6 linked regions of the Rattus norvegicus genome follow. The protein of the gene in region 1 purifies or fractionates together with the protein of each later gene. This does not show direct contact. Links are inferred from orthologs where the notes say so. Each region holds a gene or a part of one and is shown in the gene's direction. Other genes may lie near its edges.

Region 1 (3,500 bases):
GGCAGCTTTTTGTTTCTTATGTGTGGTCTAGTGTCTAGTTTAAAAATAACTTATTACTGTTGTTCTCTTACAAGAGAATCAGTTAAAAATGCGTGTGTATCCTGTTACTTTATCCAACTGTATTCTATTTGGGAAAACACTCAGCAGTTATAATGGGCAGTAAAAACTTGAATGTTGGTGTTTAGAAGCTTTGGGGACTAAAGATACTTAGAAGGATAGGAGTAATGACGGTGGAGAAACAGGGGCTAGTTTTAAGTTCCTCCTCTGTGCTCTTATGTTTACCTCCAACATCTTGTTCTCAGCTTCCCTTCATTTCTAGTATCCATCTGTGTCCTTTAAAGTCTTCCTTATTACCTCTGAATTTCAAGAAGTGTTGGGGATTTAGCTCAGTGGTAAGGCACTGGGTTTGGTCCCCAGCTCTGAGAAAAAGAAAAGAAAAAAAAAAAGAAAGAAAAAGAAGTGATCTTTTGTTTCAGTAATAGCTTTTCCTTCACCTTTCATCAAAACAAAAATGTATTATTTTTTAAGTTATTTTATGTTTGTGAGTACACTGTAGCTGTCTTCAGGCACACCAGAAGAGGGCATCAAATCCCATTACAGATGGTTGTGAGCCACCATGTGGTTGCTGGGAACTGAACTCAGGACCTCTGGAAGAGCAGTCAGTGCTCTTAACTGCTGAACCATCTCTCTTGCTCCCAAAAAATATATTCTTTAAAAATCTTAACACATTGCATTTGATTAAAGTCAGTTAATAAGGGACTAGGGATTGCTTGGTTAGTGAAACGCTTGCTAGTAAACATAAGGACATAGTCTCAGAACCTACATAAAAAAAACTTGTATGGTGACATGTAATCCCAGCTCCGGGGAGGTGGGGACAGGCAGATTCCTGTAGCTCACCAGCCAGTCAGCCTAGACAATTGTCAGGCCCCAGATCCCAGTGAGAGATTGTGCTTCAAAAACAAGCTTGACCCCTATCCTCTACACACACCCCCACCTCCATGAACAGACATACTTACCCACACATCCATACAAATCATTAGAGCAGACTGCCTGATTCTAGAATGTCATGGAACAGGTTTTAGATCAAGGAGCATGTTGTACTGTTTCTTCTTCAGGGGAATTTCCTGAAGTCAAGCTAATGTTAACGTTCCTTAAGAGCCATTTTATTTAATGCTTCTCTTCTTCCCCTTTCGTGGCTTTCTTTTCCTTGTCTCTTTCAGCTCACGAATGTGTAGGTTTCTATTACTTTGCAAAGAGATGTTAAAGAAGAAAACTTCAGTTTATAGTTGCCTTAGAGTAGAGACAATGTAGACTTAAAAAGCAGCAGTATTTTCTGTGTTTGGGAAATATCTTTAGTAATTTTTGCAAGAAATTTAACTTGCATTTCTAGTGTCTAGTGATCATGCATTATATATTCTCCCATTTTAATTTAGCATATGATGAAGATAAGCTATGATGTGGTTAAACGATGGATAAATGAAGCCCAAGAAGCTGCATCAAGTGACAATATCATGGTGCAGGTACTGTCTTTGATATAATTTTATGTGTCAGGAGAAAGTATTGATTATCCAGCAGTAAAGGCTAATTTTTAACATATTAATCCACTTATAAGTATATACTATCAAGTAGGCAGCATACAAAGTTTTATTATTTCTATTGGTTTTCTGTTTGGTAGAAGATAAGTGACCTCCAGTAGGAATGTTCAAGAAAAATTCCCTTTACAGTAGTAGATAGAAATGCTTATTCCAGAGGGATTCACAGTGCATTTTGGCCTTTTATTTGAAAGATAATTTATGTAAAAGGAAACTGTTTCTTATGCCTTGTTAGTAGTGTAAAAACATCAGCCATTTTTGCTATACAAAAATATTGAAATCTTTTAGAAAGAGCTTATGATATTTATTAAGCTATTATCTAAAGGAATATTATCAAAAGTCTAACTGGTAGTTTTATGTGAAATCTCTGTCTTTGAAAAAGTATTAATGTTTATATTTTCTTACATTAGCATATTTAATAATGTGAAACAGTCACTTCCTCTTGAGACACCTATTGGTCTAAGTCTGCCAGTGTACTATCATACAAGTGTCATGGTGATGGTACTCTCCTCTCCTTTTATTAAGCTGGCGACACTTGTAGGAATGTACTTGTAGTCCCAGCACTCAGGAGCCTGAGGTGGGAGAATCACCTGAGCCCATGAGTTTGAAACATAGGAAAACCCCGTCTCTGTGGAAGTTAGATCTGAGGGTGTGAGCCATTGTTAAACCCACTAGATCTGCTTTTAGGTTGTATGCAACTCCTTTCTTACTGGCTGCTCTGAATTTACAACTTCTGGAGTACATTACACACTCTCTCTTTTTTTCTTAGTGATTCTGGTGTTTAGTTTCATATAAAAAAAGATACTGTATTTTGTCTTTTTTACTTGTATATCTTTTTTGAAAACAATCTTTTGTCTAGTTCCATGCAGTTGTCTTGCCTGTAGGTGTCTTGCTGTCTCCCTAAGCTCATGTTGCACTCTTTCTTGTTCTTAGTACCATGCATTGGGAGTGCTCTATCACCTCCGGAAGAATGATCGGCTTGCTGTCTCCAAGATGCTAAATAAGTTTACCAAGTCTGGTCTCAAATCACAGTTTGCATACTGTATGCTGATTCGGATTGCTAGTCGCTTACTGAAAGAAAGCGAGGATGGGTAAGTATCCTAAACTGAGTTGGTTGCTATTTACAAGTTAATATTTCCTTAGAATTTATTTTATTTATGAATATTTTAGGGTAGCACTGACTTTACAGATCAGTTTAATAATTTCCAAATTACAAAGAAATTGGCTTGACAGCTGAGCATGGTGGTGCCTGCTTTAATCCCAGCACTCGGGAGGCAGAGGCAGGTGGATCTCTTGAGTTTGAAGCTAACCTGGTCTATAGAATGAGTTCCAGGACAGTCAGAGCTATGCAGAAACCCTATCTCAAACAAACAAATAAAAAGAAAAAGAAATTGAGGATTCTAAGTAACACAGTATTTTTTTTTACCTTTATATATGCTCATATATGGAGTGATTACTAATAATATATTTATGAACTGATACCAGAGGTAAAATGTGTAGGTCCTAAGTTATATATAGATAATCGAATATGATAATCAGGAGGGACATTAAAAATCATCTTGTATAAGAGAAAATATTGAAATGCTAAATTGAGTAATTTGCCCAAGGGCTGGAGAGATGGCTCAGCCGTTAAAGGCTAGGCTCACAACCAAAAATATAAGAGTAATTTGCCCAAGATCACTGTGTAAGTGTGAGTTATAGGTGAACTTCCCAGCAATACCTTAGCAGTCCTAGAGGCTAGAAGGAGGCAGGAAGAGGATAGGGATCTTTCAAGGTATAATAAACTTGGAGCAAATAAGAAGCGTCCTCGCCCTAAATGGCTTATGGCTTTCCCTTTTTAATTTATAGACAGTATCTCTCCAGGTTGGCCTTTCTTGCCTCAGCCTCCCAAGTGCTGGGATTGCAGAT
Region 2 (3,500 bases), on another chromosome or scaffold:
AAATTAAAAGTGGCTCCCCTCCCCCTGCCTCCATGAGAACTGTTAACATTTGTTCAAATAATTATTTGTTTATCTTTGGGTAAGATTTTGTTTTAGCAGAATGTGCAGCTATTCTTTTTTTTCCCTTTCTTTCTTTCTTTCTTTCTTTCTTTCTTTCTTTCTTTTTTAGGGTGGGGGGTTGTTGTTGTTGTTGTTGTTGTTGTTGTTTTTCAAGACCAGCTTTCTCTGTGTAGCCTTAGCTATTCTGGAATTCAATTTATAGACTAAGCTAGCCTCTCTCTACACCTTAAGTGCTGGGATTAGAGTCATGCACCACCACTGTTGGCTTTTTTTTCTTTTTTTTCTTTTTTTTCTCTTTTTTGAGATCAGGTCTCACTATATAGCCCTGACTGGCCTGAAACTCGATGTATAGATTTGACTGGCCTTGAACTCAAAGATCTACTGATGTACCTGCTTCTAGCTCTTGAGTGTTGGCATTAAAGATGCAGCATGCCTGGCAATAGCTACAGACTGTGCTGTTGCTGATGTGCTTTGAAAGGGCTTTGAAAGTCTCAGAACAAGACTGACTCGAGACTGTTTATGTACTAACATTGGAATATTCCTTCACCAAAACAGCTTCATGGTAGAATACAAAGAACAATGGACTACTTTGTCGGGAGACCTGGGTTCTTTACTAATTACTGTCAGGAATCAACTCTGAGACCTTCACTTTAAGTTCCTTAACTACCTAAACTTTTTTTCATCTCTAAAATAAAAGACATAGAGTAGGCTTAATTAAAGACTCTTAGAGAAATTTAAGCCAGCATGTTGTCAAACAAGCTGTAGCAACCCTGTGATCAGCTAACAGGGTGGCTGGGGAAGTTACTTTGGCATTTTGTTTTAGAAGGATGAGTATTGGCTTGGTTCGTATTTCCAGGGAAGAGACAAAGAGGAGGAGTGAGGCCCATAGAGCATCTACTTTGCTAACACTATCCTGTTCATTTTTCTGTTGATGAATTGTTCAGAAAGAACTAAGATTCCCCCTTAATAGATTCAGAAATGAGGCTCACAATTATATTGTTCAGTATGATACAAGTAGTCAGTGGTGGTGTGGGAATTCACATCAGAATCATTGACTTTTAACCTTCTGTTCTTCCACAGAGCTCCACAGTCCAAATGCCTTTGTATAAAGTTGATTGACTACCTCAGTGTAACTTTACTGCTGATATTATTAAATCATTGTTTCCATTTGGCTTTTAGATCCCAATCGTAGAATCAGAAATAAAGAAAGAAGCTGGCGAGTTAAAACCAGAAGAAGAAATAACTGTTGGGCCCGTTCAGAAATTGGTTACAGAGATGGGCACCTATGCTACTCAGAGTGCACTCAGCAGCTCTAGACCTACCAAGAAAGAAGAGGACAGGTAACGCTTTTGCGCCCTGCTGGCTGAATGGCTGCACTGCCCTCTTGTGGTGAAGCAGCTGTGGTTTCTCTTACTAGTTTTTGATGCTTAAGTAAAAGTATTTACCATTTAAGGTCTTGAAATAAGGTATGTGTGTAAGGTTTCCCTGTGAATGGTCTCTGTAAATTTAGTCTTCCGTTCCTACTATTCCCATTGAAGTAAATATTCTTATAAAACTTACTTTACTCACATAGGATGTGCTGTGTATAAATTTAAGTCTGACTGCTTGTTAGTATCAGAAAGATATTTTGAAGTTTTCCCTGTTTCTTTGCTTTCTCTTTCTTTCCTTTATTATACATTTCTCCTGCACTAGCTAGCACTCAGGGCCGCTCACATGCTGGGTTAGTGCTCTGCCATTGGAGCTATGGTCTCAGTACAAACCGTCCAGCTCTGACTGATAAGTAACATTTCAGTTGTTCACCTCTTTGTTTTGCTGTCCGTGTTTATGAGACGATGATGAGAAAAAGGATGGTACAGTGTTGTTGAATGCTTCTTATGTACTAGAAGCCACACCAAATAGTTGATGTCAGTCTTGACAGCAGCCCTTTCAGAGAGTGTACTGTCTCCATTTTCAAGAGGAATTTCAGACCTAGAGAACCCTGTAAGCAACTCTGAAAGAGTACATAAGCCCACACTCAGGAGTCGCATTTTAGCTCCAGTGCATCTATCCTTAATTCAACATCCTTTTCTTTCTGTTCTTTGGACTGCTGAGTTATTTAAGAAAAGTATTAGTTACATATTCTTCTTTTTCATTTTGAAAACTAGTGAGGAATGTAACTGAGGTCCTTCTCACCAAACAGGAAATCAGTAGCTTACCTGAACCATTTATTCAAAAGCTACGTGCTACTTAAGGGTGTGTGGAGGAGAGAGGGTGTGTGGGAGGGGGAACATCCTCACAGAAGTAGGGGGAGAGGGGATGAGAGAAGAAAAACCGGGAAAGGGGATAACATTTGAAATGTAACTATCCATTTAAAAAAAAAATTGTGGTATTTCATGTTTGTTGATTCCTTTGCAGACCACCCTTGAGAGGATTCCTCCTGGATGGAGATTTCTTTGTTGCTGCCTCCCTTGCCACAACTCTGACCAAGATTGCATTACGCTATGTAGCATTGGTTCAGGAGAAGAAAAAGCAAAACGTATGTTCATTTATTCTGTATTTGTACAGTCATTGGTTACTAAATATCTACTCTATTGAACAGTGAAAAACTTCAAAGTTAATGCTACAGGTGTTAGTAGGGGAAACAGTCACAGTAGACACATAACATGACTAAAATATTGACAGAGAAACTCAGAAATACTATGATTAGTCTGATGAAGGAGGTGTGAGGAGTTATGGAGTCACTTCTGAAGGCCGGGGTTAGTCAGCCAATGGAAGCAGTGGCCTTTTCTCATTAGCATTTTTTATTGTCTATTTTATCTTTTGTACTTTATAAAGCTCATTTTCACTCAGCATGTGACAAACACTTCCTCATTTTTTTTAACCCTTCCTAGTTGTATTTGTAATATTTAATTTGTAATTTAAGCATCCAACTGTTTTTATTTTAAGAGTCCAAATTGATGTCCTCAGGATTGGTTGCATCACTTTTAAATGATAGGAGAATGTTTGTGGCTATCAGTTAAGGACCCAGGTTTCTTGCAGTGTCCAGTGAGTACCCTTAGCTCTGCTCGTACAGAGGTGGGCGCCTGTTGTTCTCCGTCTCATCAGCATGCCTCTGTCTGTGCCATTTCCCTTCTTCACCCTGTGTGGAGAGGAGTGTCCTTGGACCACAGATCGTGACGTAGGTCTGGACACAGGTCCTCACACGTAGGTTGCAAGGGTTCTACCAGTTGCGCCATCTCCCTCCACCCCTTCCACATGTTTTTGTAAAATTTGAGTTCCCGGTTGGCATTCTTTTCTCCCAGCACTGTATAGCTCCATTGTCTTCTGCCTTCCTAGTGAGAAATCTTCTATCACTCCTGCCTGCCCATGGCTGGTTTTATATTATTCTTATCATGGGTTTTAGCAGTTTAATTTGTCCATGGCTTAATGTGGTTTTCTTCATGTTTCCTCTGAGCTTTGGG
Region 3 (4,001 bases), on another chromosome or scaffold:
CTCCACTATTCTACCACACTAGATTATAGTTCACGTTTAAAACATTTTCAACTGAGCTTTGCAATTGGTTACTGCACGGTGTGCAATTATGTGATTATTCATCTCACTCACGTAAAATCTCATTACTGAGAGAAAATTTGTTTTTACTGAGACAAAAGAGTAAAGGTGGATCTTTGGAAACTACCCAACTTTTTGTACATGAAAATCGAGGCGCATAAATCTCCCAAGAGCCAGGAACTAATGAAAACACCTCCTTTCTGGAAACCTAGGCTTTTCTCCACCAGAGGTTTATAAGCAGCAAAGGGCAAGTTCCATTGTTTCATAGCATTTGCTTTTTAAAAGGTGTGTGTGTGTGTGTGTGTGTGTGTGTGTGTGTGTGTGTGTGTGTGTGTGGAAATCGGTACACAGTGCATTTGCACTTTTCCTGGCGATTCTTAGGGCGTGATATTTTCTGAAATTGAACTTATTAAAGAGCTGCTTTGGCGTAACAGATAGAGCACGGGGCTCCCAGGGCTTATCCCCCTGAGTCCAGATTCTAACAACACTGCTTACTATGTCATCTTGGCCAGTAAACCCAAGTTCCTTGAGCCTTACTTTCCTAATCAATAAAATGGAAACGACTCCTGTGTGGTGTTGGCTATACATTCAGCTGTAACCACACAAACGACCAGGAGGATGCTTTTTGAAGGGCAATCACTCGACTGACTCCGGGAGGATCCAGAACCAAGATCTCAGGACTCCTCGGAGCTTCAAAGGCGGGAGACGTGCCTACATCTCTTCCGCCTCGGTCGGTATCACCCAAACCAGACACCGCTCTGGGCCCCGTTCCGGAGCCCGCTGGAGTACACTGTTTCAGAGCCTTCTTTTCTCCGCCAGAGGCTCATGTTGTTCGGATAGGGCTTCCGGGCCCCATCGCTGTTGCCGGCGTTAAGCAGGAATTCAGCACCGTGCTCCATCTTCTTAGCTTTCTGAACCTGCTAGCAGGTAAACTGCCCGATGGCCGCTGGTCACCGCCCTATCCTAACCTCAGCAATACACGGAACAGCCAACTCAACAGCTCCGCAGCAGAAGACGCGGAAGGCCGCGTTACCTAGGAAACTGGGGCGGGACTACGCGCAGATTGCCTTACGGAGAATTTGCGCAGGCGCAGAGCCTGGTTCCGAGTGTCGCGAGAGCCGCTTCCCGGAAGTTCCACGTCAGTGGGTCCACTGCTCCGTGGGTCTGTGTGTTCTTGAGTACCAGTGTCGCTCGGAGCCTGTGAGAGGCTGGGGCTCGGACAATCGGAGCCATGGTAGGTCGAGCCTCAAAGGACAGAGAGTGGAGCCTACCGGCTACGGGGTTCCCGGGGCCTCCGGGCTAGGGGCCGTAGTTAGAAGCGGTCTGCGCTGCTGCGGCCTGGCGGGGTCCTCCTGTCCCGTTGGGAGTCCTGGGAGGAAGAAGGCCAGACTGGGAGGCTGCCGTGGTTACACGGTAGTGTAGGGGGGTGTCTGCGAGTTAGCTGCCGCCGACTCTCCTGGCAGTCAGGGCTCCTGTCAGTGCACCTGCAGTCTGCAGTGGGTCCAGTAGTGCAAGTAAATGCTAGAGGTAGGAGTCGGGCGACAAAGGCTACTTTGACAAAGTCACTTCATTCTGTCATTGAAGTGATGTTTGCTAATCCAGGTTGCGCGCGGTGTTTGATAGTGTGCACACACCAAATTGCAAACTTAAGCAGAGGGGGGAAAAAGTTAAATGTATGTGGAATCAGAGGCGGAATTTCAAATGCTTTGGCGGCCCAGTTCGGCGTTTTCTAGCTGGTGTTGATTGGGCCTTCTAGGCTCACAGAGGATGGTATTTTGGGGAAAGGCCCTTAGATCTGCCTCATTTCATTTTGAGACATATTTTTAATAGTGAAACCTTGCTTTCATTCTTCAAGGTATGTGAGTCCCATACCCACAAATTGAACCAGCTTTTGGTGGAAGACATTTGGGGAAAACTATTGTGTGAACATGTGCTGTTATTTTTTTCTCCTTGTGATAATATACAACAACTCTTTACAACTTTGACCCTGTATTGGTGTTGTAACTAATGTAGAGATGACCAGGAGTCATGGGTAGATTATAAGCACTAAAATAACTGAACTTGAGGGTTTTGGTTTGGTGGAGGGTACTGGAACCATGTGCAGGCACCAAAGGATGACTGTATTTTAAGTCTCCGGTAAAAAGTACAAAACACGAATTTATTTATTTGCTCACTCACCATAGGAGAACTCACTCTCCTGTATTTTGCTAAACATTTACCAGCTGATTGTCACAGCAGCCTGTAGATAATTATGAGTAATGTTTATGGTGGTTCCTGTAAGCCTTGCTCTGGTCTGCTCTAACTGAACTCTGATTTTAAATCTCGGAATGCTAAGAGAGATATTATTATCCCCATTTATACAAGCCAAACCTGGGAGGCTAATTAAGCTTAATACTGTATGTCTGACTTGAGAGCTGCAGATGAGGCTTGAATGTAGTGTGGATCTCAGTTATACTACCTGCTCCTCCCCTGCTCCCAAGTAAATACGGTGTGGAGAGAAGGACCTGGATAAGCATTGAGGCAGGCCCTTAAGAAATAATCCACTCCACAAGCAAGAAGAGCTGTGCATGTGGATGTACTATAAACGGGGGGGGGGGGGGGGGGGGGGGGGAATCCTCTGGCTAGGCCAATCAGAGAGGGCGTAGTGGTGGCAGCAACATTTAAACTAAGTCTGGAGTTGAGGATGCAGTGTGAGTAGGTTAATCATCTAAGACCTGGTATGATGTCTTTTTTTTTTTTTTTTTTAATCATGACTGAGATGGTAAGTATGACTCCAGGAGCTCTTGCCTGCAGTAATGGACATTTTAAAATGGGTGTCTTTGCTTGGAGTATGTGCAGCTAGACTAGATAGTTCAGAGATCCCTGGCCATTTTGAAAAATCAATTTAAAAACATTGTTAGGATTTATCCTCACAATCCTATTTCACACACACACACACACACACACACACACACACACACACACATACTTACTTGGATATGTGGCTTATGTTATGTTGAAGACCCACTATGGCTCCTGGCATAATATACTTCCTGCTTGTTGTTGGCTCAAAGAAGTAGTTAAAATCCATGTCAGTAGTCAGTGGGGCAAAAATTCAGAAATCATTGAAAAGGTTTGTTTTCCTGAAATTAGCATGTGATTTGAAGATAGTGGCTTGAGTATATAAGAGATAGGCAGGACCACACAGCAGTGGAGGAGTTCTCAAGAAAGCTGAAGAGAGAAAACACCGTCCTAATGTTGTTTTTGAAAGTGAGGGAGGCAAACATGGAAGAAGTTAGAAGTAGACAAAGAAGTTAGAAGTAGACAAAGACACAAAAAGAGGTGAATAAACGCCTTGTTAGGTGTTTGTTTCAGGATATTATCTCTGCCAGATCCTCAATTTGTGCTTAGAAGCAACCTTAGATTTCTGTTGAATTCATGATTGTTACAGAACAGCACAAGACACTAGCACAGAGACTCATCTGGCCAGTAAGCTTTCAGGCTGTGCATTAGGCTTATTGAAGGGGACATGCATTTGACCTGCGCGGATAAGAGAGAGTGCTCCAGGGCATCTTTGAACGAATTAACTTTTCTTCTGTGGTGGCATCCCTAGGAGAAACGGAACACAGTCACTCAAATCAGTTTCTGGTCTGCGGTTCAGAGAAGGAGTCTAACTGGAAAGGGGCAGTTTTAAACTGTTACTATTTAATGGCTTAATTTGTTTAAAATTGTTCTACTTTTCAGTATGTTTCTATACATTCAAAAGACCTTTATGAACATGAGTAAACCCTTATTGATCAGGCATTACTACTTGTCTACAGTTTAAATGTCCTCCCCATCTGATTATTTTTAAAGAGCTCATTTAATATTATGGTTTAGGATTAGTACAGTTTCATGAATGACATTTTCTGGTACAGCACTCATGCATGGACATGAAATTGTGACGTAGTTGATGTTTTGAATTT
Region 4 (3,500 bases), on another chromosome or scaffold:
TCCCCTAATTGGTACCTAAAATGTAATAGATTTAGAGAGCCAGATGGTGATACACACCTTTAATCCCTTTGCCTGGGAGGAGAAATGCATACACAATATGCACATACATACATACATACATACATACATACATACATACATACATACTTGCATACCTGTGATAGGCTCAATGCAAGATAAGCAAGGGTCTTCCATTAAAATCTCAACAAAAGCCTAAATTTTGACTATTTTCTTTCTAGTTGAGAAACTCAGATCTAGGCGAATATTTTGTTTGCTTATTTTTAAGTACAGGGGATTGAATTTAGGGCCTTGTTCATGCAAGGCTTTCATTTTAACTTGTTCATTTTTGTAATTTTGAGGGTCTCACTGAGTCTGGTGAGAAACTGCCTAGACTAGGAATGAACTCACTCTGCAGCCAAGACAGGGCTCAGCCTCCCAAGTGGCTGAGATTACAGGCCTGCGCTATGAGACCCAGCCTTTTAGGATTGCCTTTCTTTTCTTCTTATCTTATGTACATTGGTATTTTCCTTGCACGTATGTCTGTGTAAGGATATTGCATCTGTAGCTGGAGTTACAGATAGTTGTGAGCTGCCATGTGGGTGCTGGGATTTAAACCTGGGTCTTCTGGAAGAACAGCCAGTGCTCTCAGCAGTTGAGCCATTTCTCTAGCGCCTTCCCCTTTTAAGGTTTTATTTACTTATGTAATGTATATGAATATACTATAGCTGTCTTCAGAAACACCAGAAGAGGACATCTGACCTCATTACAGATAGTTGTGAGCCACCACATGGTTGTTAGGAATTGAACTCAGGAACTCTGGAAGAGAAGTCAGTGCTCTTAACTGCTGAACCTTTTCTCCAGATTCTCTCCCCACCCCACCCCCTCTCTCTAAAGGAGAGAGGTTAGAGGTCAATGAGATGTCTTAGTGGATAAGAACCCTTATCACCAAAGTAGATGACCTAAATTCAGTCCTTAGGTCCCATGTGTAAGAGGAGAGAACTGAGTTCTTCTATTTGTCCTCTGACCCACACACTTGGGCACCATGACATATAATATATGTACCCACACATTCTCGAGCGCACGCAGAAACACACACACAGACACACACACACACACAAATGAATGAATGAATGAATACTGTGAGGCCCTGGAGAGAGTATTAGTAGTCAACCTGATGTATAAATGACTTGGATAAGGGACAAACTTCTTTACTAAAGGAGCAATTGCTGGGGGACATCATTAGTGGTTACCTTATCTATTTACTTCTCATGACTCCACCCATATTCATTTCAGCTTCTGATTAAAAACCTGAAAAATGAGATCACCAAGAAAATCCAGGTGCCCAACTGTGATGAAATCTTCTATGCTGGTACAGGCAACCTCCTGCTTCGGGATGCAGATTCCATCACACTCTTTGATGTCCAGCAGAAGCGGTAACATGGCAGACAAACTTGTAATGAGGGAGAGTGGGGGTCTTTTTTTTTTTTTTTAAAGGTTTATTTATTTATCATATACAAGTACACTGTAGCTGTCCTCAGACACCAGAGGAGGGCATCGGACCCCATCACAGATGGCCGTGAACCACCATGTGGTTGCTGGGAATTGAACTCATGACCTCTGGGAGAGCAGTTGGTGCTCCCAACCACTGAGCCATCTCTCCAGCCCGAGAGTGGGGGTCTTTAATAGGGGGGTTTTCTAATCTTGCCACATGGCCTCGCTGCTGCTTACACACTCGACTGCGAGGCTGTTTGCGATCCTTTTCCCTTTCCCTGTCTATCCTGCCCCCGAGTGCATGCGTTCTAGCAGCGTGGCCAGGGCTACCAGACATTGAGCTATCTTTAAAGAATGGGTTTGGGTCTGGGGATGGGAAGAACACAAAGTTGAATAGCACAGTTCCTGTTCTTAAAGAACTTAGTAAGTCCAGTGGTGAAAATTGATAGAGACAAAGGCCTAATATAGGAGGGAACGGGGCGGCAGAGAGGGAGGAAGAGGAAGTGCAGAGTGTGAACCAAAGCATTTAGCTTACTGACCTACAGCGTAGGCAGTGTTTCTCTGATATTACATTGAGAAGTTGAGTTCTGCATTAATTAAAGATGGAAACGGCATAGGTCATAGCTTGAGACAACACAATTAGGCCCATTCATGATTCCCTTTCTCTTGCTATCCCAGAACTCTGGCATCAGTGAAGATTTCCAAGGTGAAATATGTTATCTGGTCGGCAGACATGTCTCATGTTGCACTCCTGGCCAAGCATGGTAAGGCTTCATTATATCCACCGTCTTAGAGGCCACTTCCTCCCTGCCAGTTTACTGCACTCACCCTGTCCAACAGAGCACTCATGCCCTTTGCCTCTTACAGCCATTGTGATCTGTAACCGCAAGCTGGATGCTCTGTGTAACATTCATGAGAACATTCGTGTCAAGAGTGGGGCCTGGGATGAAAGTGGGGTGTTTATCTATACCACAAGCAACCACATCAAATATGCTGTCACCACTGGGTAAGTTAATTATCTGGGACAAGTGGGAGAAGGTGGCTTCCTGCGATCACTGTGCTAACTCAAGAGATTTAACCGCAGTTCTCCGTTAACTTTCTTCATAAAAGAGCCAACAGGGCATATATGTACTATAGGGCTCTCTCTCTCTCTCTCTCTCTCTCTCTCTCTCTCTCTCTCTCTCTCTCTCTCTGTCTCTCTGTGCTGACTCAGTGACTCAGGCAGTTTCTCTAAGGTCAGACAACCTGAATTCAATCCCCAGGTTCCTCAAATGGCAGGAGAGAACCAGGTCCTGAGAGTTTTCCTGTAGCCCCCACACACACCTGCATTGTGTACACACATAAAATAAAAAAATTTCAAAATTTAGGGAAACATTGTAAAGGACTGGGGAGGGGCCAGTGAGATAGCTCAGCAGGTTAAAAACAAGGCGTGAGTTTGACCCCAGAGTCCTTATATGGTGGGCGGAGAGAGCTGAGTGCCAAGAGCTGTCCTCTGACCGCCACAGATCACTGCAGCATGCACATCTATACTGCATAATGAATGCTCACATACATAATTATGAGTTTTTTATTTTTGAAGGGAGGCTAGTCATTGGTAGCATGCTTTCCTAGAATGCCCAAGGCTCTAGACTCAATAACTCAAACTGCAAAAAAAATAAAAGGTTCATAGCATATGTTCTGTCATAGAAAAGAATTAAATCGTTTTGAAACACTTTTTGTCTGTATCAGTGTGTAAGTAGCACTTGATGAAAGGAAAATGAGAAAATACTATTTCAACTTTATTCATTTTTACAAGCTGGATTTTCTCCCTTCTGAAAATTGTGCCTTTTATCCCCTCTTCCTAGGGACCATGGGATCATCCGAACTCTGGATTTGCCCATCTATGTCACAAGAGTGAAGGGCAATAACGTATACTGCCTGGACAGGGAGTGTCGTCCTCGGGTGCTCACCATTGACCCCACCGAATTCAAGTTCAAACTGGCCCTGATCAACAGGAAGTATGATGAGGT
Region 5 (3,500 bases), on another chromosome or scaffold:
AAGCTGGAATTAACCCCTCCCTCTCTGAGGTTGCTTTTGGTTATGGTATTTGGAATAGCAACAGAATGCAAATTATAGAAATAGGTAAAGAAGAAAATTGTTGCATTGAGAATAGAATTAAAGTAAGTTTTATATTAATGTAACATGTAGGCTCAGTGACACTTAATATTTCTTGTTACAACATTAATTAATTGTACAACATGAGCAGTCCTGAGCTGCAAGAGTTTGGAACTGTACCAATAGTACAGTGTGAAGGAGAGACCATATTTTGCCAATTCAGAATTAGGAAAACAGCTAATGTTTTGGTTGTGAGAGTGTATTCTATACATAGAAAAGTTCGAGTACATCCTAACTATGATATTGTTTTATTTCATATAATTGGGAAAGATGGAGTATGATGCTGAACTTACCTATTTGTGTTTATACACAATTTTCTAACTGTATAATCAATAAAGACACTATGTTTTTCATTATGTGTGATAAAGATGTTTTAAAAAGCATAAAAACACTTTATCAATAGTCACTTGTTTGCCCATAAGATGTCTACTTTTGTAATTAAAATTGTAGAAATGAATAAAAGAAAAGGATTGTGCTACAAAAGCCCTACCTGTTGTAGCCTCTGCAGTTGGCATTGACTGGTTTCTGTGCCCTGTAGGCATTCTGCAGAAAGTAATGATCTGAGATGCAAGATTTGATGACTATGTTTATATTTATACATACATATAGATATATGTGAATATATTTTTATATATATTTGTCTTTCAGCTGTGGCAGAAGTAAAACTTCGGGATGACCAGTATACATTGGAACACATGCATGCTTTTGGAATGTATAATTATCTGCACTGTGATGCCTGGTACCAAGACAGTGTCTACTACATTGATAACCTTGGAAGAATTATGAACTTAACAGTGATGCTGGTAAGAGACACATGCAGAGTGTAAGGACAGAGCTCATCCTGTTTTTCTTACTCTTTAATGTCTGAATCTGATGTCCAGGTAGTCAAGGTGCACAGACCTTTGCAATGTGGAAGTCTGTCATCAAACTGTGTTAGGCTCCCTTCTGCTTACCTCAGTTATAACTTTTATCTTCTTGTTTTATTGTAATCTCCTTCACCCATCCATTTCCACTTGTATGGTATATCCTCAATATAATAATAGATTTCTTCTTTTCCATTTTAGTTGGTGTTTACACTATGTTTTTGAACTATGTTAACATTTAGGTTTGGTTATTTATGTTGATCCCTTTTATATTATGAAATATTCTTTTTTTTTCCCTTTAGGTCTTAGAAATAGTTTTGCCTTCAAATCTTGTTTGCCTTATATTAATACAGTCATAACTGATTTAAAAACTGATATCCTGGCCCAGGGAAAATTTTCAGTCAGTAATATTCCTTCTGTTTCTATGTTGTGGAATAATTTGATGAGTATTAACATTAATTGTTCTTTGAAAGCCTGTGCTAAAACCTCACCAGGATCTGAGTTCTGTATCTAGAGTCTATATTGCAAGCCCTGGTGGGGATAGCAGTCACTTGTAGTCTCAACTCTGATAAGTCAGAGATAAGCACATCCCTGGAGCTTGCAGTAGTGGACAGAGCTAGAAGAACATCACCAGAGGTTGACCTCTAGGTTCCATGTACATACAAACACGAGTACTTGTATGTGCATATGCACAGGAACACACACAAAGTGTGTGTTTTCTGTTTTTTTTTAAATATATCAGTATTATTTTACTTTAAAAGGGTTAAAGTGTATCTCATAAATAACTAGTAGTTAATTTGGATAATGGTTTGTCAATCTTATTGATTTTTCTCAAAAAAAAAACCCAACTCTTTGTTCCATTGACCCTTGGTATTGTTTTTGTTGTTGTTTGTTTTGCTTGTTGTATTTGTTTCTGTTTTTCTGAGTTCAGGAATCGATTATCAATAATAATTCTGTGATTGATTATTTCCTGCTATTAACTCCTTTTGGGTGTGATTATTTCTTCTTCTTCTTCTTCTTCTTCTTCTTCTTCTTCTTCTTCTTCTTCTTCTTCTTCTTCTTCTTCTTCTTCTTCTTCTTTTCTCCTTCTCCTTCTCCTTCTCCTTCTCCTTCCTTCTCCTTCTCCTTCCTTCTCCTTCTCCTTCTCCTTCTCCTTCTCCTTCTCCTTCTCCTTCTCCTTCTCCTTCTCCTTCTTCTTCTTCTTCTTCTTCTTTTTTTGTTACAGAGCTTTTAGGTGTGTTATTCAGTTTCTAGTATTAGATTTCTCTTTCTCTTTTTTTTTAATGTAGGCACTTAGTGCTAAGAATTTGCCTTTTAGAAATGCCTTCATTTAAATCACAAAAATCAGTAGCCTTCCTATATACAAATGATAAACAGATTAAGAAAGAAATCAGGTAAGTACCTTTTATAGTAGCCTCAAATAATATTAAATGTCCTGAGATAACTAACAAAGCATGTAAACATTTATTTGATAAAATCTTTGAGTCTTTGAAGAAAGAAATTGAAAATGATATCAAAATAGAAAGATTTCCTATGCTCATGAGTTAGTAGGATTCAAACACAATTCTTCACAGATCTTGAAAAGACAGTATTAGCTTTATATGGACACGCATACACACACACACACACACACACACACACACACACACACACACACACACACACACAAAACAAAAAACAAAAAACCCAGGATAACTAAACAATACTTAATGATAAAAGGAGTGCAGGAGGTATCATCATTCCTGATTTTAAGTTGTACTATAGAGCTATAGTAATAAAAACAGCATGGTACTGGCACAAAACAGACACCAATAGAATAGAATAGAAGACCCAGACATAAGTACATACACATATGGACACAAGGCAGCATCTTCAGTAAACCATGCTGCTCAAACTGTCTACATGTAGAAGAACCCAGATATTTATCACCCTGTACAAAACTCCAAAGACCTCAACATAAAACCAAATACATGAGATCTGATAGACGAGAAAGTTGGACAATAGCCTTGAACTCTCTGGGACAGTAAAAGACTTTTTGAACAGGACACAGTTAACACAGGCACTAATATCAACAATTAATATATGGGACCTCATGAAATTGAAGTTTCTGCACTATAAAGGACATTGTCCCTTGGAACAAAATGGCAGTGTATACAATGGGAAAAGATTTCTGCCGACTACACATCTGATATAGGGCTGTGATAGATAGTTTTATGTCAACTTGACAACAAGCTAAAGTCATCAGAGAGGAAACCGCAATTTAAAAAAGGCTCCATTAATCAAACTGTAGCAAGCCTGTAGTTAGTTAGTTAGTTAGTTAGTTTTCTTAGTTACTGATTGGAGATGGTTCAGCCCATTGTATGTGTTGCCATCCCTGGGTGGGAAGTTCTAAATTCTATAGGAAATCAGAATGAGCAGGCAAGTAAGAACTCCTTTGGCCTCTTCCCACCAGGTTCCTGCTCTGCTTGAGTTCCTGAATTCCTTTGATGATAAAATGTAATGTGAAGACATAAGCCAAAT
Region 6 (4,072 bases), on another chromosome or scaffold:
GTGGATAGTGGCTTTGGCTTTTACTCGGGGCAGGAACGGAGGCACGGGGAAATCAAACTTCAACAAAATCTTACCATTAAAAAAAATTTTATTTATTTATCATGTTGATAAATCTCCCTATTATGTAAACCTGGAAATTTCAATCTCTCCTCTCTCTCTCTCTCTCTCTCTCTCTCTCTCTCTCTCTCTCTCTCTCTCTCTCTCCCTCCTCCTCCTCCCCCTCCTCCTCCTCCTCCTCCTCGTCCCCCACCCCCCTGCCCCACGTGATGAGAATTGAACTCAGGTCCTCTGGAAGCGCAGCGAATGCTCTTAACCGCGGTCTTACTGTGTAGTCCTGTTTGGCCTAGAACTCTGTATGTAGACCAGGCTGGCCTCAAACTCAGATCTGCCTCCCTAGTCCTGGGATTAAAGGTGACACCACCATTCCCAGCTACAAACCTACCTTATCCACTCAGAATGTACCATTCTCATCCCTTTCTGCCTTGGTCCTTATTCTTTCATTCTCTCTTGTCTCCAATGCCCTAATATCTTATTTCCTGTTGAACCAAAGGGAATGGGGGTGGGGGGAACGTTGTCCATCAAAGTGCAGGTCTCCTGCATCGACTCCCAGACCGAAAGTGGGAGGCAGATTGTCTGGAGCTGAGCAACGGAATGTGGGAGCTGGGAACTGAACTCAGGTTTTCCACAAGAAGAGCATGAGCTCTTAAATTTAAAATATTTATTGGGTATGTGTACGTGACACGTGCACATCCTGGGATATACTTCTCCAGACTTTGGTTTGTGTAGGCAACGCTTGACTGTCCATAGCTAACTTGGTGAACTCTCAATGTTGTTGAAATGACCCAAGGACACTACAGCTGCGGATAACCCGCAGGACCTAATGGTGGCGCTGGGAATCTGGATTCAGGTAGGGCTTTTCAGCAAGGCTAATGCTAAGGGTTAGAGACACATAGCACCCCCTACAGCGAGTGCGAATAAGAGGCTGACAGAATCACGTGGCTTCCTCCTACCAATAGCAAAGTAACAATCGCTTCCTCTGTTCCCCATGGAAACAACACCGCCCTCAATGATCCTCCCGCCCCTTCAGCGCTTGAGGTTTTGGTCTTTCATTGAAAATTCCGGATGACAATCAAACATCCGCTTCTTCTGGCTGGACAGTTGGCGTCCGTGAAGCGAGTGACTACGCTGACTGGTCCAGATGCGAAGGCTGGCTTATTTTCACCCAATGTTGCTTCTTTGGGGCGGGATCTAGCGAAGACTCAGGGCCAATCAGCGGCGACGTCGCTTGTGCGACTCCACGTCGGCAGCAGCTACGGGCAAGATGGAGGCGCTGATTTTGGTAGGAGCTGGAGGGCCGGTGGCTCCGCCGTGGTGTCCAGGGGGTCCGGGAGGTGGGGTTCATCAACTGGGGCGGGGAGAGGGTTCTGGGCAGGCCTCGGGGCCGAAGCTCCCGCTGTCTGAGCAATGCAAGTGTGGCCTACATGGGAGCCAGAGCCGCGGTTTAGAGTAGGAAGCCTGACCGGGAAGAGGCAAGAGCCGGTGGCAAAGTTGAAGAGAACATGCAGGGACCTTAGGAGAATTCTGAATGCACTGGATCGGGGCCTGGGGGGCGGGGGAGTTCAAGTTCTCCCTGATGGTTAGCATTGTGGATCATACCTACTTGAGTTTCCCCAAACCTCCATATTTCCCCCCAAGTTGCAACGGCAGAATAGAGGTGTTTTGTCAGCCCCAGATTCTCCTGATGGTGGTCAGAATTCGACTACGTATTGGCAGTTCCATGTCCTGTTCCTTCACAAAACTTGTTTTCGTTTTCCTGTTAATCTTTAGTATTTAATCCCGTCATGATTGAGAGTCGGTCAGCATTCCATCCAGGTTCAGGAGTACTTGGTAGAGCTAGTCTAGATTTTGGAATATTTTTTTTTCTGACTCCTTATTCTGCTGTCCTATTCCCTCCTCCTTTAGACTTTAGGAACTCATACTGTAGGACCCCTTGTCTGTCTTCCCCTGCTTGGTTACATGAGAACTGAGGTGACTGATACCAGCAGTGCATTAGCTCTCTTCTCCCCTGATCCTTCTGCTTGTTCAAATAAAACACTGCCTCTTTTTTTTTTTTTTTTTTTTTTTTTGGTTCTTTTTTTCGGAGCTGGGGACCGAACCCAGGGCCTTGCGCTTCCTAGGTAAGCGCTCTACCACTGAGCTAAATCCCCAGCCAGAGCATTTCCGCCTGTCAAGGCACTGGCTGGCAGTTTGGAGGCCTACCTGTGTCTGAATGTTAGTATAGGAATTTAACTTTCAGCTTCTTCCTTTCAGTTGTATTCCAGGACTGTTTCCAAGAGTCTTCCTTAGCTTCTGTTTTCCTTTCTATTCCTTGTAAGTGTACATGTCAAACTCTTTGTCAGTAAAAGAAAAAAAAAAAACCAACAACCAAGTTTTTCCTTCTCTTTTTTAGAGGAAAAAAGTTTTTTGAGACAGGGTCCCTCTCTCCCTCTCCACCTCCCTTTCCCTTTTCTGGTGCCCTGGCTACTCATTATGAAACCAGGTTGGCCTCAAACTCACAGAGATCCACCTGCCTCTACCTCCCAAGTGCTGAGACTAGAGGTATGTGACACCACTCCAGCTCGTTTTAGTTTTTTGACTGAAGGTTTCATAAGGTCTGACTGGAATCAACTTTGCCATGTAGCCAAGGACAGACCTCCTCCATTCTCACCTGGTGTTTATGTGGGAATTTGAACTTTGGTTTTCTTATTTGTATGACAAGCACTTTTAACCACTGGCCTATCTGTCCAAACCTTCTTTCTTTCAAATGTCAAAGAGAATTTATTCTCATCATGTGAGTTGGATAAGTTGAAGCAAAATGTCTTGAGTAGTTCAAGTATTTACTGTATTTTTACTGTTTTTTAAAATCTTGTGACAGATGTGGGTAGAGTTTGTAAAATTGGTTTTCTTGGATGTTTTTAGCCTTTTTAGTCAGGTGTGGTGGCTCACATATGTAACCCCAGCACTCAGGTTGAGGCCATATTGTTGCTAGTTTGAGGCCAGCCTGGGTTACAAAATAAGACCTTGTCTCATAAAACCAAAATTAATGTAATTTAGTTGAACCAGCTTAAAGAGTGAGGAAGGTGATACTTGGGGAGCTCCTTTACCGTTGGTTCTGTTGGGCTGGGTGTAATGCTATGCCAAGAGCACATGGTCTAGCTGACTTTAAAGGCCCTGTGTTCGGCCCCTAGCCCTGGGAGAGCTGAAGTTGTATGGGGTAATCTCTGTGTCATTTTCTCTCCCTTTTCTGTCTCTTCTTGCACTGGGTAGTCTGTCTCACCCTGCCTCTTCCTCATTCTTACCTTTCGGCTGAGCTCACCAGCTGCATGTAGTAACAGACCCTTGCTGGAAACCCCATACTTTTACTTTAAAAACTGTACCAGGTCTTTGTCACAAGCACCTTATGTGTTGGGTTTAGGGATGCAGAGCTGTAGGAAAAGACTCTTCCTAAGGAAGGGCAGTGCCAAAACTCCATTCCATTTTACTTTCCTTGTTCTCTCAGAACAAATCTTTTTTTTTTTTTTCTTTTTTCTTTTTGATACAGTCTCATTATGTAGCCTGGACTGGGCCTGAATTTGTCACTTCCCGGCCTCACTAGGTTTCTGAAGTTTCTGTAGGTTCTTACACCTCTTTAGTTTGCAGGATTTTCCTTTCAGCCATGGGTTGTATAAAGTTTTTGTTGATAAAATACTTACAGGAATCTATAGATTGTGGCTCCCACCTTTAATCTCAGTACTTGGCAGGCACAGGCTGGAGGATGTCTGAGAGTCTGAAGCCAGCCTGGTCTACTTAGTGAGTTCCCAGACAGTCAAAACTATGTAGAGAGAGCCTATCTATAAATAAATAAATAAATAAATAAATAAATAAATAAATAAATAAATCCCAAACCTACAGGTATTAGTTTTTGTGCTGATTTTTAGAGTTCTTGAGGATTAAACTAGTGTCTTTTTCTTTTCTACTTCTGTGTTCTTTCCAACTTTATTTATTTATTCATTCATTCATTTATTTTTGAGACTGGGTCTCATTATGTAGTCCT

Evidence for each region.
Region 2: the proteins of Copg2 (region 1) and Copb1 purify together in Homo sapiens (affinity purification with western blotting; 4 studies listed by BioGRID and IntAct, with this or other methods). This does not show direct contact. The link is inferred for Rattus norvegicus from reciprocal best matches to the Homo sapiens genes COPG2 and COPB1.
Region 3: the proteins of Copg2 (region 1) and Copb2 fractionate together in Homo sapiens (co-fractionation; 4 studies listed by BioGRID and IntAct, with this or other methods). This does not show direct contact. The link is inferred for Rattus norvegicus from reciprocal best matches to the Homo sapiens genes COPG2 and COPB2.
Region 4: the proteins of Copg2 (region 1) and Copa fractionate together in Homo sapiens (co-fractionation; 4 studies listed by BioGRID and IntAct, with this or other methods). This does not show direct contact. The link is inferred for Rattus norvegicus from reciprocal best matches to the Homo sapiens genes COPG2 and COPA.
Region 5: the proteins of Copg2 (region 1) and Nudcd1 purify together in Homo sapiens (co-immunoprecipitation; 3 studies listed by BioGRID and IntAct, with this or other methods). This does not show direct contact. The link is inferred for Rattus norvegicus from reciprocal best matches to the Homo sapiens genes COPG2 and NUDCD1.
Region 6: the proteins of Copg2 (region 1) and Copz1 fractionate together in Homo sapiens (co-fractionation; 5 studies listed by BioGRID and IntAct, with this or other methods). This does not show direct contact. The link is inferred for Rattus norvegicus from reciprocal best matches to the Homo sapiens genes COPG2 and COPZ1.

Annotation. Positions count from the first base shown.
Region 1 is NC_086022.1:60,413,454-60,416,953, reverse strand, and holds part of Copg2 (coatomer subunit gamma-2), read left to right. Parts: intron 1-1,433; coding exon 1,434-1,520; intron 1,521-2,525; coding exon 2,526-2,683; intron 2,684-3,500. UniProt on the Homo sapiens protein: The coatomer is a cytosolic protein complex that binds to dilysine motifs and reversibly associates with Golgi non-clathrin-coated vesicles, which further mediate biosynthetic protein transport from the ER, via the Golgi up to the trans Golgi network.
Region 2 is NC_086019.1:177,848,841-177,852,340, reverse strand, and holds part of Copb1 (coatomer subunit beta), read left to right. Parts: intron 1-1,239; coding exon 1,240-1,400; intron 1,401-2,454; coding exon 2,455-2,575; intron 2,576-3,500. UniProt on the Homo sapiens protein: The coatomer is a cytosolic protein complex that binds to dilysine motifs and reversibly associates with Golgi non-clathrin-coated vesicles, which further mediate biosynthetic protein transport from the ER, via the Golgi up to the trans Golgi network.
Region 3 is NC_086026.1:108,039,486-108,043,486, forward strand, and holds the start of Copb2 (coatomer subunit beta'), read left to right. Parts: upstream 1-1,201; 5' UTR 1,202-1,288; coding exon 1,289-1,291; intron 1,292-4,001. UniProt on the Homo sapiens protein: The coatomer is a cytosolic protein complex that binds to dilysine motifs and reversibly associates with Golgi non-clathrin-coated vesicles, which further mediate biosynthetic protein transport from the ER, via the Golgi up to the trans Golgi network.
Region 4 is NC_086031.1:87,106,368-87,109,867, forward strand, and holds part of Copa (coatomer subunit alpha), read left to right. Parts: intron 1-1,293; coding exon 1,294-1,433; intron 1,434-2,169; coding exon 2,170-2,255; intron 2,256-2,331; coding exon of another isoform or gene 2,332-2,358; coding exon 2,359-2,497; intron 2,498-3,335; coding exon 3,336-3,498; intron 3,499-3,500. UniProt on the Homo sapiens protein: The coatomer is a cytosolic protein complex that binds to dilysine motifs and reversibly associates with Golgi non-clathrin-coated vesicles, which further mediate biosynthetic protein transport from the ER, via the Golgi up to the trans Golgi network.
Region 5 is NC_086025.1:77,470,576-77,474,075, reverse strand, and holds part of Nudcd1 (nudC domain-containing protein 1), read left to right. Parts: intron 1-765; coding exon 766-920; intron 921-3,500.
Region 6 is NC_086025.1:136,286,985-136,291,056, forward strand, and holds the start of Copz1 (coatomer subunit zeta-1), read left to right. Parts: upstream 1-1,272; 5' UTR 1,273-1,321; coding exon 1,322-1,339; intron 1,340-4,072. UniProt on the Homo sapiens protein: The coatomer is a cytosolic protein complex that binds to dilysine motifs and reversibly associates with Golgi non-clathrin-coated vesicles, which further mediate biosynthetic protein transport from the ER, via the Golgi up to the trans Golgi network.